Linked DNA regions of Oryctolagus cuniculus. The protein of the gene in region 1 interacts with the protein of each later gene in a pairwise test. Links are inferred from orthologs where the notes say so. Each region holds a gene or a part of one and is shown in the gene's direction. Other genes may lie near its edges. The genes, in order: TNS2, CRKL, SHFL, keratin-associated protein 13-1 and KPRP.

Evidence for each region.
Region 2: the proteins of TNS2 (region 1) and CRKL interact in a two-hybrid assay, tested with the Homo sapiens proteins (2 studies listed by BioGRID and IntAct). The link is inferred for Oryctolagus cuniculus from reciprocal best matches to the Homo sapiens genes TNS2 and CRKL.
Region 3: the proteins of TNS2 (region 1) and SHFL interact in binary tests that used the Homo sapiens proteins (3 or more experiments, as listed by UniProt). The link is inferred for Oryctolagus cuniculus from reciprocal best matches to the Homo sapiens genes TNS2 and SHFL.
Region 4: the proteins of TNS2 (region 1) and keratin-associated protein 13-1 interact in a two-hybrid assay, tested with the Homo sapiens proteins (2 studies listed by BioGRID). The two-hybrid records come from large-scale screens. The link is inferred for Oryctolagus cuniculus from reciprocal best matches to the Homo sapiens genes TNS2 and KRTAP13-1.
Region 5: the proteins of TNS2 (region 1) and KPRP interact in binary tests that used the Homo sapiens proteins (3 or more experiments, as listed by UniProt). The two-hybrid records come from large-scale screens. The link is inferred for Oryctolagus cuniculus from reciprocal best matches to the Homo sapiens genes TNS2 and KPRP.

What each region holds. Positions count from the first base shown.
Region 1 is NC_091442.1:56,117,566-56,121,080, forward strand, and holds part of TNS2 (tensin-2), read left to right. Parts: intron 1-43; coding exon 44-215; intron 216-644; coding exon 645-695; intron 696-948; coding exon 949-1,071; intron 1,072-1,168; coding exon 1,169-1,233; intron 1,234-1,919; coding exon 1,920-2,003; intron 2,004-2,343; coding exon 2,344-2,456; intron 2,457-2,544; coding exon 2,545-2,605; intron 2,606-2,854; coding exon 2,855-2,930; intron 2,931-3,103; coding exon 3,104-3,233; intron 3,234-3,319; coding exon 3,320-3,385; intron 3,386-3,491; coding exon 3,492-3,515. UniProt on the Homo sapiens protein: Tyrosine-protein phosphatase which regulates cell motility, proliferation and muscle-response to insulin. Phosphatase activity is mediated by binding to phosphatidylinositol-3,4,5-triphosphate (PtdIns(3,4,5)P3) via the SH2 domain.
Region 2 is NC_091452.1:29,687,251-29,690,765, forward strand, and holds part of CRKL (crk-like protein), read left to right. Parts: intron 1-3,080; coding exon 3,081-3,515. UniProt on the Homo sapiens protein: May mediate the transduction of intracellular signals.
Region 3 is NC_091447.1:67,206,271-67,210,495, reverse strand, and holds the start of SHFL (shiftless antiviral inhibitor of ribosomal frameshifting protein), read left to right. Parts: upstream 1-1,419; 5' UTR 1,420-1,703; coding exon 1,704-1,724; intron 1,725-2,220; coding exon 2,221-2,344; intron 2,345-2,473; coding exon 2,474-2,523; intron 2,524-3,736; coding exon 3,737-3,775; intron 3,776-3,875; coding exon 3,876-4,025; intron 4,026-4,225.
Region 4 is NC_091435.1:14,994,598-14,997,339, reverse strand, and holds keratin-associated protein 13-1, read left to right. Parts: upstream 1-1,346; 5' UTR 1,347-1,375; coding exon 1,376-1,927; 3' UTR 1,928-2,228; downstream 2,229-2,742. UniProt on the Homo sapiens protein: In the hair cortex, hair keratin intermediate filaments are embedded in an interfilamentous matrix, consisting of hair keratin-associated proteins (KRTAP), which are essential for the formation of a rigid and resistant hair shaft through their extensive disulfide bond cross-linking with abundant cysteine residues of hair keratins.
Region 5 is NC_091438.1:45,508,181-45,512,167, reverse strand, and holds the start of KPRP (keratinocyte proline-rich protein), read left to right. Parts: upstream 1-1,185; 5' UTR 1,186-1,302; intron 1,303-2,378; exon of another isoform or gene 2,379-2,487; intron 2,488-2,615; 5' UTR 2,616-2,643; coding exon 2,644-3,987.

The sequences.
Region 1 (3,515 bases):
CAGCACGTCAGTCACCTCCGCCTGCCCCGCCCCTCCCCCCCAGGAGCTTCAGCCTGGACCCTCTCATGGAGCGGCGCTGGGACCTGGACCTCACCTATGTGACGGAGCGCATACTGGCCGCCGCCTTTCCTGCGCGGCCGGACGAGCAGCGACACCGGGGCCACCTGCGCGAGCTGGCCCACGTGCTGCAATCCAAGCACCGCGACAAGTACCTGGTGAGGGGCGGGGCCTTCCGGGGTCAGCCAATGAGAGGGCTAGGAGGCTGCTCACCGACGTCCAACCAGCGGAGGCGAGGCCTCCGGAGGGCGGAGCCAAAGTGGTAGGGGCGGGGCCTGGAGGGCCGACACCCACCCACCCAGGCCAGGACTTCAAAACCTTATTTTATTTATTTATTTACTAATTTATTTTGAGGATTTTAGTTATTTATTTGAAAAGCAGAATGACAGAGAGATCTTCCATCCACCTGCTCACTCCCCTAAAGCCAGGAGCCAGTAGCTCCTTCTCCCCCCGCCTCCCCCCCATCTCCCTTGTGGGTGGCTGGGATCCCAGGGACTTGGGCCACCTCTGCTGCCTCCCAGGACGGGCTCCCAGGCCCCCGTGCTCTATGCCCTGCTGGCTGTCTAAAGTGTCCCCTTTTGTTTCAGCTCTTCAACCTCTCAGAGAAAAGGCATGATCTAACCCGCCTGAACCCCAAGGTAGGCGGAAACGTCCTGCACCGCCCCCATGGGCCTGCCAGCCCCAGGGCAGCGCTGGGCTTGTTACTGGACACACCCCCACAACGTGGTGCGGCAGCCATCAGACCAGTGTAGGGGTGGCTGCACTGCACAAGAGCCTCCGACCTGGTCCCTTCCCACACCCCTACCCGCCCATCTCCGTGTGCACACACTGTACCCCCACACCCCACCCCGTCTCTGTGTGCACACACACTGCACCCCACCCCACCCCCAGGTCCAGGACTTCGGCTGGCCCGAGCTGCACGCCCCACCCCTGGACAAGCTCTGCTCCATCTGCAAAGCCATGGAGACCTGGCTCAGCGCTGACGCACAGCACGTGGTCGTGCTGTACTGCAAGGTGGGCGGCCACCTGGGGCTCCCAGGGATGGGTGCCCTGCCCCCACCTGGAGCCCCAGCAGGCCCTCCAGCCCAGCCTTCCTGTCCCTCTCTCCCAGGGGAGCAAGGGCAAGCTCGGGGTCATCGTGTCTGCCTACATGCACTACAGCAAGATCTCGGCAGGGTGAGCTCCCCTCTCCTACCAGCCCTGTCTTCTGAACGCCTCTGCCCGGGAGCCCACCTCTATCCGGAGAGCCTACTACTCAAAACGCGTCATTTCCACCTTCCTTTTCTTGCCTGTGCGGGACCCCAGGCCCCAGCAGATGCCCTGTGCTGGCCACCAACCGGCCAGCTTAGACCAATAGAGATGGATGGGCTCGCGGTGCCCAAGGCTGGGCGCCCAGCCCGAGGTGCCTGCAGGGGTATGCTCCCTCTGGGACTCTGGGTAGAAACCCTTCCTGCATCCGTCAAAGGCTACTCCCCCTCCCTGTGTGTCTGTCTCTCTGTTTCTTCTCTTCTTATAAGGACTCCAATGATCTCCTCTTAACTAATTACGTCTGCAATGATCCCATTTCCAAATAAAGTCACATCCTGAGGTACCTATCTTCTGGCGGGGAGGGGGGATACAATGCAACCCATGGTGTGGTCTCATCAGCCCATTTTACAGACAAGGAGACTGAAGTGCTGGGTACAACTGCCTGAGGCGCAGCGGAGTGACTGTTGCATGGGGCTCCTGGCTCTATTGCCCACCACACTGGGCTGCCTCTAGACTTTGGGTGGGGGCATCCCCAGCTCTCCTCTGTCCCCTGGGGCTTGAGGCCAGGATGCAGGGCAGCCCCTAAAAGCCCACACCGACCCCGCTGTCCCCAGGGCAGACCAGGCACTGGCTACTCTCACCATGCGGAAATTCTGTGAGGACAAGGTGACCACAGAGCTGCAGCCCTCCCAGCGCCGGTGAGCAGCCTGGGTGGGGATGGGCCGGCGGGGCAGCCCCTACCACGGCCGCCAAGGCCACGGGAGCTCGGCACGGACAAGCAGCTGCTTACACCCTAGTGGGGTAGGAGGCAGGGGCGCGGGAGCGAGAGGCAGAGATCTGGTTAACAGCTTGCCAGGCAGGTGCACCACTTTTAGGCCAGCAACAGGGACCCAGGCTGGCGATACAGAACTTCCTGGGGCCCTGGAAGCTGGGAGGGATGCGCTAAGGAGAAAGGCGAGCCTGGTGGGGGGGGGGGTGGCAGCAGGGACCTCCGGAGGAAGGGCTTAGGTGGTCTTTGTCCCCCACCCTCCCCCCCAGGTATATCAGCTACTTCAGCGGGCTGCTGTCCGGCTCCATCCGGATGAACAGCAGCCCCCTATTCCTGCACCACGTGCTGGTGCCCATGCTGCCAGCCTTCGAACCCGGCACAGGTGAGTCCGCCCGCGAGGGACCCCTGGAGAAGAGTCCCCACCCCCTCCACTCAGGACCTCTTACATGCCTCCTCCTGTGTGCCCCCAGGCTTCCAGCCCTTCCTCAAGATCTACCAGTCCATGCAGCTCGTCTACACGTCGGGAGTCTAGTGAGTGCTCCGCCCCCCAGGCCCCCTGCCTCCTACACGGCCAGCGCCTCTGCTGCCCCCTGTCAGTGGGTTCCTGCTCCAAGAGCCTCTCCAGACACCTGGGCTTCCAGCTCCAGCCACTGCACTTGGAAGGCAATACCCCCGTGGAATCCATTTCACAGATGGGGAAAGCTGAGGCCCGGGGTAGAATCTGAGCTCCCCAGCTCCCTGCTGCCTCTGACTCGGCTCTGCCTTCTCCCTTGTCCGCAGCCACATTGCAGGCCCTGGGCCTCCGCAGATCTGCATCAGCCTGGAGCCAGCCCTCCTTCTCAAAGGCGACGTCATGGTGAGGGTCCCAGCAGCAAGCAGAGACCCCCGGGATCCCCGGTTGAGGATGGGGGTGGGGTGGGGGTGGGGGCGAGTCCTGCCAGCTGCGCGGGTCCCCTGGAGGTGGCAGAAGGGCAGAAGCCGCGGTCTGGCCGCCAGAGGGCGCCTGACCCCTGGCCTCCCCTCCCCCAGGTCACTTGCTATCACAGGAGCGGCCGGGGCACCGACCGCAGCCTGGTCTTCCGAGTCCAGTTCCACACCTGCACCATCCACGGCCCGCGGCTCAGCTTCCCCAAGGACCAGCTGGACGAGGCCTGGGCGGGTGAGTGAAGGGGCGGCCAGAGCCGCGGCAGGTGCGAGAGGGTGGAGCGGGCCAGGGCCTGGATCCTCACCCCCTGCTCCCCACAGACGAGAGGTTCCCCTTCCAAGCCTCCGTGGAGTTTGTCTTCTCCTCCAGCCCCGAGAAGATCAAAGGTAAAGGGGGAGGGGAGTGCGGGGTGGGGATGGGAGTGGGGGGCGTGCGGGAGGCGGGGGCCTGGCTCTCCCGGGCTCCCAGACATCCAGGCGGGCCTTTCCACAGGCAGCACCCCACGGAACGACCCCT
Region 2 (3,515 bases), on another chromosome or scaffold:
TCTTTTGGGGAACCTAATGGCAGCCAGGTGTGCTTTAGTAACCTGATGGATTTGTTACTGAGGGAAGAGGTGGGGACTGAATATGTTGGTTTGGCCCTTAGAATCACACAGAATGGGGCCGGTGCTGTGGCTCAGCGGGTTAAAGCTGCGGCGCCAGCATCTCATATGGGGGTTAGTTCCAGTCTGAGGTAGTTTCCAATTCAGCCCCCTACTAATGTGCCTGGGAACGCATATGGGAGACTGGAAGAAGCTCGACCTGACTGTTGGGGCCATTTAGGGAGTGAACCAGTGGATGGAAGATCTTTCTCTCCCTCTCTCTAACTCTACCTTTCAAATAAATAAATCTTTAGGAAAAAAAAAAAAAACTGGAATGAGCAAAGCAAGAGATGTGGAAGGAAGGTGAGGGGTGTATTGCATGTAGGCCAACAGGTGAAAGCTTTTTCTCTCTCAAAATAATGTTTGAGATAAGTTTATTGTAGTGCAACAATTTGAAATCTAGCTTTTTTTTTTTTTTTTTTTTTTTTTTTTTGACAGGCAGAGTGGACAGTGAGAGAGAGACAGAGAGAAAGGTCTTCCTTTGCCATTGGTTCACCCTCCAATGGCCGCCGTGGCCGGCGCGCTGCAGCCGGCGCACCACGCTGTTCCGATGGCAGGAGCCAGGTGCTTCTCCTGGTCTCCCATGGGGTGCAGGGCCCAAGCACTTGGGCCATCCTCCACTGCACTCCCTGGCCACAGGAGAGAGCTGGCCTGGAAGAGGGGCAACCGGGACAGAATCCGGCGCCCCGACCAGGACTAGAACCCGGTGTGCCGGCGCCGCAAGGCGGAGGATTAGCCTAGTGAGCCACGGCACCGGCCCACACCTGATATTTTTAAGACAAACTGCTATTAAGCAGTTTGCCCTTGGTTATAAAATTGTTAATAAGTAACAAGGCCTTTGAAATTTTAAATCAAGCTCCTAATCACCTAATCATTATGACTTATGAAAGTAGTTGTAGTAAAAAGAGATACAAGGTTTTGTTTTTGTTTTTGTTTTAAGATTTATTTTTCCCCTGTGCTGTGTGGCATAGTGGGCTAAGCCTCAGGTGCCGGCATCCCATATGGGCACTGGTCCCAGTCCAGCTCTCTGCTATGGCCTGGGAAAGTAGCAGAAGATCGTGCAAATCCTTGGGCCCCTGCACCTGCATGGGAGACCGGAAGAAGCTCCTGGCTCCTGGCTTCAGATCAGCCTAGCTCTGGCCGTTGCTTTCATTTGGGGAGTAAACCAGCAGATGGGGGAATCTCTCTCTGCCTCTCTGTAACTCTGCCTTTCAAATAAGTAAATAAATCTTAAAAAAAAAAAAAAAAAGTAATGTGGCTGTATATATTTAGGGCCATAATAAATGTTCACGTTCTTTAACCTAGTTATTTGAGTTCTGGGAGTCATAAGTTAAAAAAGTGATAAAGGGAAAATATGCTCAAAGTGTGTGGCATTGACGGCTAAACATGAAGAAACAGTGAACTATCCAGGGGCGCTTCCTTATGTTGTGCTCACAGAATGCTGTGACAGTGGAGGTGGTGGAGGCCAGTGATGTGCAGACACACCTGTGCTGTGATTTTAGGAAGAAAAGCTGCCGCAGTTTTTCTGGAGTGGATGCAGGCTTTGGTGAAGCCCCCTCTTAGTGAGATACAAACTCTGGAGGCACCCCAGCCTAGGGTAGATTCTGGGCTTCAGAAAAGGGGAAGGGGAAGAAACGTTTTTTTCCACTTGGTGGCTTTCCAGCTTTTCAAACCTTGTCTCAGGCGAGGAGAGACTCGTGTTTCTGGTGGGTGTTAGCAGGACTGTGCTTGTGTGGCTGACCCTGGGAGTTCATCCTACATGTCGTTGGGCAGATATTAATATATCTGTAGCCACTGCAAAGCTGCAGTGGTGGCAGCAGACTGACGCTTACATGGGGGCTCTGACCTGTGCGTTTTGCAGTGTAAGTTTCATTGATGCTCATTTTGATGATCAGGTGGTAATTTTATTTTGGTAGACATCTGGTTTTTGTACTTTGAGGGACCAGAGGCAGACCTTTCTCATCTTTTCTCTGTGTAGCCAGGGAAATGTGCAGGATGTGTCATTAAATTAGGACTGGGAGAAAGAATTTGTGGCATTTGTGACAAAGTCCAATGGAAGGCAGCTACTGAACTTAAGATTTTAAAAATAAATTAAGATTGGGTATCAGCTGGCACCCTGGGTTCTAGTCCCGGTCGGGGCACCGGATTCTGTCTGGTTGCCCCTCTTCCAGTCTAGCTCTCTGCTGTGGCCCAGGAGTGCAGTGGAGGATGGCCCAGGTCTTTGGGCCCTGCACCCGCATGGGAGACTGGGAGGAAGCATCTGGCTCCCGGCTTTGGATCAGCGCAGCGCGCTGACCATAGCAGCCACTTGGTGGGTGAACCAACGGAAAAAGGAAGACCTTTCTTTCTCTCTCTCTCTCACTAACTCTGTCCAAAAAAAAAAAAAAAAAAAAAATTGGGTATCTATATGTAAACAAAAACTTATAAAGCAGATGTGGTGTGTATATACATTTGACATGTAATTTGAAAAGGCATACTCAGGATATTGACTTTCATTAAAGACTACAGAAAGTACAATCTGAAAGAACCTTCTTACTCCTGAGAATAAATATAGAGAAATAATTCATTATGGAGGAGTGTGGTTTATTAAAAAATTTGATAGGGACCAGCATTGTGGCATAGTGGGCTAAGTTTTTACCTGCAGCACTGGCATCTCATATGGGCTGTGGTTCTAGTCCTGCCTGCTCTTTTTCTGGTCCAGCTCTCTGCTGTGGCCTGGGAAAGCAGTGGAAGATGGCCCAAGTGCTGGGGCCCCTGCACCCCATGGGAGACCTATAGGAAGCTCCTGGCTCTTGACTTCAGATTGGTCCAGTTCTGGCCGTTGTGGCCATTTGGGAGTGAACCAGTGGATGGAAGACCTTTCTCACTGTCTCTCTCTCTCTCTCTGTAACTCTACCTCTAAAATGAATAAAATCTTAAAAAAAAAAAAAAAAAGTTTGATGACACTGGTAAGATTTTTCTCCTAATTTTCTTTCTCTCTTAAGGTATCCAAGCCCACAAATGGGATCTGTCTCGGCACCCAACCTGCCTACAGCAGAAGAAAATCTGGAATATGTACGGACTCTCTATGATTTTCCTGGGAATGATGCTGAAGACCTGCCTTTTAAAAAAGGTGAGATCCTGGTGATAGTAGAGAAGCCTGAAGAACAGTGGTGGAGCGCCCGGAACAAGGATGGTCGGGTCGGGATGATCCCTGTTCCTTATGTTGAAAAGCTCGTGAGATCCTCGCCACACGGAAAGCACGGAAATAGGAATTCCAATAGCTATGGGATCCCAGAACCTGCTCATGCGTATGCTCAACCTCAGACCACAACTCCTCTACCTGCAGTTTCCAGTACTCCTGGGGCAGCCATCAACCCCTTGCCATCCACACAGAATGGACCTGTCTTTGCGAAAGCAATCCAGAAAAGAGTGCCCTG
Region 3 (4,225 bases), on another chromosome or scaffold:
AAAAAAAAAAAATTATTATTACAGAGGTCTTCCATCTGCTGATTCACTTCCCAGATACCTGCAGCAGCCAGGGCTGGGCCAGGCAGAAGCCAAGAGCTGGGAACTCCATCCGAGTCTCCCTCGTGGGTGACAGGGGCGTGCCTGTTGTAGGATTGATGAATCCTATGGTAGGCATATTTTTAACTTAATAATTGATTTTATTTATTTGAAAGACAGAGATCTCCCATGCGCTGGTTCCCTCCCCAAATGCCTACAACATCCAACACTGGACCAGACCAAAACCAGGAGCCAGGAGCTCCCTCCAGGTCTCCCCCAGAGGTGTTAGGAGCCCCGTGCACCTGCCATCTCCTGGTGCCTCCCAGGGTGCGCATCAGCAGGGCACTGGAGTCGGGAGCTGGGATTCAAACCCTGGCACTCGAAGATGGGATGCCAGCGTCCCAGGCGGCAGCAAAACCTCTGTGCCCAACACCGCCCTGTGTTCCAGCAGTGTCCGGAGGCCACTTCTGAGGAGGGCCACGACTCCGGTGGCATCTAGGGCATGGGGGCCGGGGACAGATCCCCATCGCAAAGAGCTACTGGCCCAAAGTGTCCGCAGCTCTGTGCAGGCGGCTGAGAAAACGCAGTTGCTTCTTTCACCTGACTCCATCCTCACCAGCTATGACCTCAAACTTCTGGGGCTCTGTCCAAGCAGGAGATGATGTCCCCAGGCCGAGGGTCCCAGCTAAAGGCTCCCCAGGCCCCTCTGCTGGGGCCCCATGGGCCCCTCAACCGCCCGATTGAGAATGCAGATTCCAAAGCAAGCATTTGGCTTGAGAGGGTTAACGGGACACATGAGAGGCCTGCATGGCATGAGCTGAACTCCTGGGCTCTGATCCAGGTCCCAGTTCCCACTATAGCACAGCCCTGGGAGGCAGCAGGTGGTGGCTCAAGCACTTGGGTCCCTGCCACCCACGTGGGAGACCCGGATTGAGATGCCTGCTCCTGGCTTCGGCCTGACCCAGGCATTTAGGGAGTCCACCAGCAAATGGGAATGCACTCTCTCTCTTTATCTCTGCCAGCCAAATAAATAAAACTTTTAAAAAATAAAATGCACATTTCTAAAGCGCCCCCCAAAAGCTGGGGCCCATCACCCTGTGTTTTTCACAAGCACCTATGGATCATTCCCATTTTACAGAGCGATAAACTGAGGATCAGAAACGTCACAGTGGCCTGTCAGGAACTCAACAGCAGGGGAGGAGGGACCCCCCCCCACAAACCCCCCCAGGTCCTAACAAGCGCCCGGTCCGTGGGAGCGCACGCGGGGAGTGGGGGGCGCGGGGACCCGCCGCTGCCTTCGGAGGCGGCCCCGCCCCCACGGGGGACGTGAAGACGCGGCCCCCGCGCAGCGTGGGGACATGTGACCGACTGCAGAGGCCGCGCCGCCTCCCCCGCCCGAGGTGCGCGCGCCCCGCCGCAGGGCGCAGACCCCGCGCGCCCGCCTGGGTTTGGGGCGCAAGTGCAGAGGCGGAGCCGGGGCGGAGCCAGCGCACCCGTTCCCCACTTCGGAACCGAAAGCGAAACACCGGGCCCGGGCAGAAGGGCGGAGCCGGCCGCGAGACCCCGCCCCCTGCCCTGCGCGGCGGCCGGACCGACGGGCGCGCCCAGCGAGGAGGGCGGCTGAGCCACGCAGTGCGGACCCTCGCGGGGACCTGCGCGCCACCACCATGTCTCAGGAAGGTGTGGAGGTAGGCGATGGCCACGGCCGCGAGCCGAGGGGCCCGCGGCAGGCGCCGAGGGGGGCCCGGGGGCGCCGAGGGGGCTCCGCAGTTCCTGGGGGACCCCCATCCGCATCCCATCCCATGCTCAGGGCGAGCGCCCGGGCCCCCTCGGAGAGGAGCGCGCCGCTCACGTCCCCCGCCTCCGGAGCGAAGCGCGGCCTCCCCCCGAGGAGAAGCGGGGGCTGCGGGGTCAGGGGTCAGACCCAGGCCTTACCTGTGCGCCCCGCCCGCAGGCTGGGACCCGCGCCCGCCATCCGCTCCCACCCCCAGACCCTGTAGGGACTTGGGGGTTGTGCAGGAAATGTCGTGGAGAGATGGTGGGAAGGGGGGAGGGGGCGGAGGCCAAAACCAAGGCTAAAGTTCAGGCCCCAGGAATGTTACCTGGAGTTGGGGGAGGGGCGGCGGCTCGTCCCTCCCCCCCCCACCGGAGCCCACCTGTCCCCCCCCCCCCCCCCCGTCCCAGTTGGAGAAGAGCGTCCGGCGCCTCCGGGAGAAGTTTCATGGGAAGGTGTCGCCCAAGAAGGCCGGGGCTCTGATGAGGAAATTCGGCAGCGACCACACCGGCGTGGGTCGCTCCATCGTGTACGGTGAGCGCGCGGGGGTCCCCGGCCGGCGCCGAGGGGGCGTGGCGCGGGAGGGCCCAGCCGCGGGAGGGTCTAGCCGCGGGAGGGTCTGGGCGGCGCAGGCCGCTCAGGGGCCCTGTCTTATCCCGCCAGGGGTAAAGCAGAAGGACGGACAGGAGCTCAGTAATGACCTGGACGCGCAGGTAACCTGTCCCCTGGCCTCCAAGGTCGGGGTACCGGGCGGGAGAGCCGGGGGGACCCTCTGGAGCGAGCAGGGCTGGCCACACACAGCACCTTCCTCAATCATCGGCTGGGCCAGGGAGCCTGCAAACAGTAGGTGCTCATTAAGTGCTGATTGTGTTCCATGGAGCGGAGCGGACGCCGCCATTGGTGCCAGGGAGCCCAGGAAGTCAGGGAAGACTCCCTGGAGGAGGTGATGCAAAGCCTTGACAGGGAGGAGTGAGCCCTGGAATGGAAAAGCAGGGGAGGGGGTGACAGGTAGCATAGGCTGGGAGAGAAGAGGGGGAACTGACCCCAGAAGAGGCGGGAAGGGGGAAGCGGCTAGGGCGTCCTTGTGTTGAACGAATGAATGAGTGATGACTGGCTTTGTGTGGGAATGGCTGGATCTCACCTACCTGGAGATAAAGTGCGCATCCTAATCTTTATAGGCATAAAGCATGTGATAGAAATAATCACAGAGGGTAATCATTGACCCGGCACTTCCCCGAGGGGCCAGGTTCCAGGAACTGACTTGTTTGATCACCACACGAGCCAGGACCCATTATTGATCAGCCCATTTTACAGACCAGTACTGAGGCACGGTGGTGAAGTCATGCTTTCTCCAGGGGCCCCGGGGGGACGAGTGGTTTGCCCACGTTCTCACAGCCGGAAGTGCCAAAGCCAGGACTTGAACCTGTGTCTGTTCAAATCCAGAGCCCCAAGCACTAGCCGAAAGCGACGGGGCCTCAAATAGGTGGCGAGCTGGTGTTTAGCGCGAGGCGGAATGCCTGGTTGGAGTCCGGCTCCGCCTCTTCCGGTCCAGCTTCCTGCCATGGGCACGCTGGGAGGCGACAGGGATGGTTGAAGAGCTTGGGCCCCTACCGCCCACATGGGAGACCCCGATGGAGCTCCAGGCTCCCTGCTTCGGCCTGGCCCAGCCCTGGCTTTTGCGGGCGTTAGGATGATCTCGGGCAAGCCCTCCCCTGCCTCTGGGCCTCAGTTTCCCCATATGAGCAATGGCGAGAACAGGTGCGCCCACCTGTCGGGGCTAACGGAATGGCTAAGGGAAGCCATGTACCTGCTCCTTGCTGGCTGTGCACCTGCTCTGAGCTCTGGGAGGCCCCTCCCCCAGCAAAGGCGGGTAAAGGGGAGACCCGAGTGCCTGCCCCAGTTTCTGCCCCTGGCGTCTCCACGCAGGACCCCCCAGAGGACATGAAGCAGGACCGAGACATCCAGGTGAGTTGGCAGCTGGGCAGGGGGACCCGTGTGGGGGTGGCGGCAGACGTGTGCAAGGCAGAGGACGGTGACCCCTGTCCCCACCCTGCCCGTCCCGCAGGCCGTGGCCACCTCCCTCCTGCCGCTGACGGAGGCCAACCTGCGCATGTTCCAGCGGGCCCAGGATGACCTAATCCCTGCCGTGGACAGGCAGTTCGCCTGTTCCTCCTGCGACCACGTCTGGTGGCGCCGTGTGCCCCAGCGGAAGGAGGTGACCGCCTAAAACTTGACCTTGGTTTCTGTCCTGAACGCCACTCCTGACCCCTGACCTCTGACCTCCGAGCTTGACCCGCATCCCACCGGCTGACCTGCAGCTGCACTTCTGACCTCCGACCCCGCTGGTTGCGAATTGAACTTGACTCCAAAGCCACAACCCTAAATGTGGCGTCCAGGTTCCCCTGGGAGAAAGCA
Region 4 (2,742 bases), on another chromosome or scaffold:
TATATGGAGGAAAAATTGGAAGATGAGATGTCCTTGGAAATTTTCAGATATCTTTCAAAATTTTGATGTGAGAGTTTATAGATGTTTATAGGGAGGGTAACCATAGGACATTTTACAAAATAAATGCCAAGAATTAGATCCATTTTGAAAAAAATATTCATTAATTTTCTGTTGCTATAACCAACTGTGTGAAGTAACTGATTTGTGAAGAAAATAGGTTTATTTAACTCACAGTTCTGGAAACCCAGGAGCATGGTACCAGCTTCCGCTTGATTCTGGTAACTGTCTCATGGCATCATGCAGAGTGTGTGTGAGTGACCACACGAGGGGCAGAGAATCAGAGACGGGAAAGGAGCCAGTCTTGCTCTTTTTATAACACTTTACTTTCATGAGAACTAATCAGGGTCCTACAAGAACTTCCAAAGACAGCACCCGCAATGATCTTCCACTAGCACACCCTTATCAACGTTTCCTCCACCTCCCAACTGCTGCACTGGAGATGGAGCTTCCAGCGCAAGAACCCCTGGGGAGCATTCTCAAACCATATTAAACCAGAGAAAACAGTTTTGAAGACTTAAATGAGGTTGGACCATCCATCCCCAGGGTTTGGGCTCAGGAAAATCCTGCCTTTCCCTCTGCTATTGCTCCTTGTTTCCTATCTCATCTAAATCACATCTACTACATTTTTTCCCTATGCTTACATCCATATCATTCTCTTTTTTGTTTTCACATCATTTTTCTGAATAGTAAATTTGTTCTATATGTTTGTGCAAGATGCTGTTCATTCCTGGTCATCTCTCAATTCCTTTGCCTTGGTTTTATGTGGCATATCTAGACTAAACATAGTAAACACTGATGATAAGTAACAGATGGAAATTATATTGGAGGATTTGAAACAACGCTTTGATGGTGAGGGAGTCTTTAAAAGGTTCCTTATTAAGACCAGATTTCTTCCTCTCAGTCAAGGACCAAGAGGGAGATGGCTGCTTTACAGTCCTCACCCTAGGAAGAAAGAATTCTCCAGCCCAAACAGGAGCAGATTTACATGTCATAGCCTGGGAAAAAACAGGGGCTTTCCTGGCTGTGATGGAGTAGACACTAATTACATACAGTCATAGCATTTATAGCATAAGTGTATTTCACTGACACAGAGCTGTAAAAACAAAAGGAGTTCACCCATAAATACAACATGAAGGGTGTTAGTTTGCTGCAATTACAAAGAAGTTTTACTGAGTGACGTATATGCAAATGAGGGAGTCTAACTATGGAAAAGATGACATTGTAAGTAAAGGGCCACACCCATTGCTGAGAGCATATAAATGTCCCAGTGACAAGTGACATCCAAACTCAGAACCTTCTCCCACCTCCAGTCACCATGCCCTACAACTGCTGCTCTGGAAACTCCTTCTCTCAGTCCTTTGGGGGCTACCTGCGCTACCCAAGGTCTTCCTGTGGCTCTTCCTACCCAAACAACTCGTTCTACAGTGCAGGACTCCAATGTCCCAGCACATGTCAGCCGGGCTCCTCTTTGTACAGTGGCTGTCAGGAGCCTGGCTGTGAGCCCACCAGCTGCCAGACTTCCTATGTGGTGTCCAGCCCCTGCCAGACGTCCTGCTACCGCCGGAGGACCTCCACACTCTGCAATCCCTGCAGGACAATTTACACGGGGTCTCAGGGCTTTGGATCCAGCAGCTGCAACTCCCTGGGCTGTGGATCTAGAAGCTCCTATTCCCTGAGCTGTGGACCAAGGAGCTGCCACTCCTCAGGCTGCGGATCCAGTGGTTTCAGACCCCTGGGTTATAGAGTCCATGGCTTTCCTTCACTGGGTTATGGATCTGGGTTCTGCCGCCCATCCTGCTCAGCCTCTAGGACCTGCCAGTCTTCTTGTTTCCAGCCAACCTGTTGGTCTGGATCCGGCGTCTGTTGATCATCTTATTAAGTTTCTAACGCCATTGACCAATGTCTTTAATGCCTCTATTAATAATTGTTATAGTCTTCCTATTTAGCTTCCTATTTTCTGATTATCAGTTTCTCACCCTGTCTCTGGCATCAAATCCTGGCTGACAGACTTCATCTGAAAATCTGTAATTTGTGTACTAACTCAAAATAAAGTCTAAAGTCTTCATTGGAGATAAAATTTATGTTATAGGATAACTACTCATTATTGTTTGAAAAAACAAATTTTTACTCAATAAATGCATTGATTCTGATTTAAATCTATATTAGATTTGTTTCATTATTTATTTGGTTCTAAAATATTAAAGAAATCATTATGAAATTATCAATGTATCTATACAGATTGGTTTTGAAAATCAATGAGGTGAGGGGCCAGCACTGTGGCATAGTGGGTAAAGCTGCCACCTGCAGGGCAGGCATCCCATATGGACGCCGGTTTGAGTCCCAGTTGCTCCACTTCCGATCCAGCTCTCTGCTATGGCCTGGGAAAGCTGGAGAAGATGGCCCAAATCCTTGGGCCCCTGCTCCCATGTGGGAGAGCTGGAAGAATCTCCTGGCTCCTGGCTTAGGATCGGCTCAGCTCCAACCATTGTGGCCATTTGGGGAGTGAACCAGCAGAGGAAGACCTATCTCTCTCTTCCTCTGCCTCTCTGTAACTCTGCCTTTCAAATAAATAAAGAAATCTTTAAAAAAAAATCAATGAGGTGAGTAAACTGACCAAACTTTTGGAGGCCTCAGATATTTTTATTACTCAAACTACAGGTAGGGGTTGACGTTGTGGCACAG
Region 5 (3,987 bases), on another chromosome or scaffold:
AAGCCATTGTAATCCATAAGCTGTACTTTGGAAATTTATATTCATTAAATAAAAGTTAAAAAACAAACAAACAAACAAACAAAAAAAAAAATAAATGCCCACAAGAGCTGGAAGGTGACATAATCAGATAAAATGATCCAGGCACTAAGGATTATTTCAGTTTCCTCTTAGTTTCCACAAAGAAAAATAAGAGAAGAAAAATAATTTAAGAAATTTACATTTTGAATTCGATCATAGATGTAGTAAAGACTGGTGGTACATTATAAAATGGAAAGTATATACCTTATCTAAATCTGGCAGTTGTTAATCTCATTAATGGAATGTGGGTTTGTCTATGACTATGGATTTAGAAAAAAAAATTTATTTTTGGAATCTTAAGTAAAACATATTTCTAATACTAATGATCAATATAATATTAAACCAATAAAAGATATCCATCTTGATGGTACCTGGCTCACAGGATGCAGTTTATTACTTCTATCCTACACTGTTGCTTCAAAGACTTCTCTGTAGCATCAGCTAAGCACCTGCTATGCAGGCATCAGTGTGCTGAGCTCAGGACTGGTATGGGGCAGGCACCTGTTGATCAGGTATGCTTATGGCTGATGACCAATTTTTACTCTGAGAGGATTTTGGATACTTTAAATATCATTCTTAGCTGTGCAGCTTTATATAAAATAATTGCCTTAATCCTCATAGCAGCTCAGCAAAGGAGACTTAATTATTTCTATTTCATAGTGCAGGAAATTAATAAACAGGTTGGTTGTTGGTTACAGAGATTATGCTGCAGCAAGTAGCTGATGTGGAATGTTGGATTCAGACCTGACTCTGCCTTCTCTTCATTCTGTAGTCACCCTTCTCACAGAGGCAATCTTGGCTGTTTCAGGTTATGGAAGTTTCCCTCTTATAAATATCTAGTGGAAATGTGCGGCAAGGTGGAAGGAAGGGGGTAGAATTATCTTTCAGGAGAGAATACTCCTCTGCCACCCCTTGCCACTGCCAACATCAGTTCTTGTAGGGATGGAAAAGCTGATAGGGTGAAGAGGGGAAAGAGAACAAGACTCTGCTCCTTCATAGCACAGAAGCTTCGACACTGAGGCGAGACACTCCCACACTCAGCAGGTGACTGCAGGGATAGGGTGATATAGGGAGGCAACCAGCTGCTGGAATGCCAACCTGGGTGATGAGCCAGGAAGATACCAAGTGGTTGTCTCATGGCTCAAGCCAGGCCAGAACCCTTTATATAAAGGCAGCCTTCTGCCAACACTCCTTAGCCTGAATGCCTACGTGCCTATGAGAAAGGTGAGTCTAAGAGTTGGGATTGGGATTGGGATGGGGATGAAGCTTGGTAACCTTTTGGGGGACCTGAGAAGCATAACTATGGAGCTTATGAGAAGATCTAGGGCTATGGCATCAGTGTAGTTCACTTTGGTACACTTGACTGCACCCTTGGGTGCTGTTTTCTCTCCCCAGGACCTGGAAAAGGTGCACTAGTAATTTACAGCTTACGAACAGTCAGATGAGGGTAGGAGATTCTCTCCAGGGGAGTATGTTCTGAGATAATCGCTACAGGTGCTTCATTAGAAGCATTTTCAGAATGTGGGAGTTTATCGAGAGGTGTGGTGTTGGATGAACCAATTGTCAAATCAGCCACTGCTGTTGGTTGCTGGGCTGTGGAACACATGGATTTTGATGAGTGCAGAAGAGTGGAGGCTGTCCTGTGTCTCCCTGGTGGAGCATCCCCCAGGCCATGTTTATGATGCTCCTGCTGCCCAGATCTTTAAGAGTGACTGAATGTCAGTCTTGGGATCAAGTACCTTGCGTTTTCTAGGTCACCCCATCTTAGGGAACTGCTGTGCCTCTGACAGCGGCTGGGGAGAGAACATTTCTCAAGGCAGCAGACTGCCACACTTCAAATTATTGACAACTGCAACCTGCCTGAGCTAGTTACCATTTTGATTTCAATTCCTTTCAAGCCTGGTGTGTTTTGTCTGTGCAAGCTTTTGCATATGTGTGGGCATCTATCTTAATGAGTACATGTGAAAAACACTGAATATAGATAACATTTAACGTGAAGTGGGAGCTGCCCAATAATTGATTGCATCCTTAACCTTCTCATGGATGTTTTGAGATATGAGGGCAGATGGTGCCTGAGGGATTGTTCCCACATGCACCTTTTAAAAAATATGTTTGCACAAATGTGTGTGCTTCCAGTATGTGTGTGAGAGGAAATCCAAGCTCCTGTGGGTGTGGAGTCCCCACTTCGGGCTGCAGCCTTGGGAGTCAGGGCTGCTTCTTCCACTTAGGACGTGCACCAGTGTGAATTCTTTTGTCTTCAGTGCCCTCTGGTGCTGGACACTGGTATATCCCCCCTCCAGGGATGGATCCTGGATACCAGCCACCCTGGAAGAGCACAAGCTGGCCCTTTGGTAGACCAAGGGCAGATCTCACGGACAGTCAGGACTGATCACGTGTTTACCTAAATCAGTAAGCGTTCTTGGGTGAAGGTTGAGGAGGGAGGGGAAAAGATCAAGGAAGATGCAGGGTGTCCTCCCCGGGGTTCTGTCCCCTGCTCTCCAACTCTCATCTTCTTTGTCTTGGTCTGCCCACCTCAGATCCCACTCACCTGCCTGCATCAGGACCATGTGCGACCAGCAGCAGATTCAATGTTGCCTGCCACTCCCCCAGTGCTGCGTCAAGGGTTCCTCTTTCTATGCCAACGGCCAGTCCCCCTATGCCAACAGCCAGATGGTGATCCAAGCCCCTTGTGAGATGCAAATTGTGGAGTGCCCCACGCTATGCCCAGTTCAAGTTTCCCAGGCTCCATCCCAGGCTAAGACTACTGAAGTGAAATGCCAGGCTCCCTGCAAGTCTAAGACCACCCAGGTGAAGAGCCAAGCTCCCTGCAAGTCTAAGACCACCCAGGTGAAGGGCCAGGCTCCAGTTGCCTGTGTTCAGTGCCAGGCTCCTTGCCAATCGGAGGTGTCCTATGTGCAATGTGAAGTCCCACACCCTATTCAGACTTGCTATGTAGAATGTGCTCCAGTTTGTTATACAGAAACACGTTACGTGGAGTGCCCAGTCCAGACCTATGTACCCTATGCAGCACCTCAGCCCGTCCACACGTATGTAGAATGTCCCCCAGTGCACCAGGCTCAGGGAAGATTCTCCACCCAGGCCCAGTATCGGGGATCATACAGCAGCTGTGCCCCTCAACGCCAGCCCCAGGCTTCCTACAGCAGCTGCATCCCCCAGCGCCAGTCCCAGGCTTCCTATGGCAGCTGCATTCCCCAGCGCCAGTCCCAGGCTTCCTATGGTAGCTGCAGCCCCCAGCGCCAGTCCCAGGCTTCCTATGGCAGCTGCGCTCCCCAAAGACAGTCAAGGCCTTCGTTTAGCTCCTTTGAACCCCAGTGTCAGAACCAGGGCTACTATGGCAGCTTCACTGGGCAGCGCCGATCTCAGAGTGCCAGCAGGTGCCTCCCTCCTCGCCGGCTGCAGCCTTCTCCTCGGAGCTGTTCCCCACCACGCCGCTCTGGGCCCTGTTACAGCAGCTGCCTGCCATCAAGATGCTCGTCCGGCTCCTACAACTACTGCACCCCACCCCGCCGCTCTGAACCCATCTACGGCAGCCGCTGTCCTCGCGGCCCTCCTCCCAGCTGCTCTCAGAGACGCGGACCCAAGTGCCGCATAGAGATTTCCTCGCCCTGCTGCCCCAGGCAGGTTCCCCCACAGAGGTGCCCTGTGCGGATTCCCCCCATCAGAGGCTGCTCCCAGAGCTGTGCCCCCCAGTCCTCCTGGGGTGCCTCCTGTCCGGAGCTGAGGCCACGTGTAGAGCCGCGTCCACTGCCAAGCGCCTGTCCTCCACGCCGTCTTGAGCAGTGTCCGGAGCCCTCACGTCAGCGATGCCCACGTCCTGCCCCACGTCAGTGTCCACGTCCAGAACCCCTCCCACGTCCTCCAGCACGGCAGTGTTCAGAGCCTTGTTTG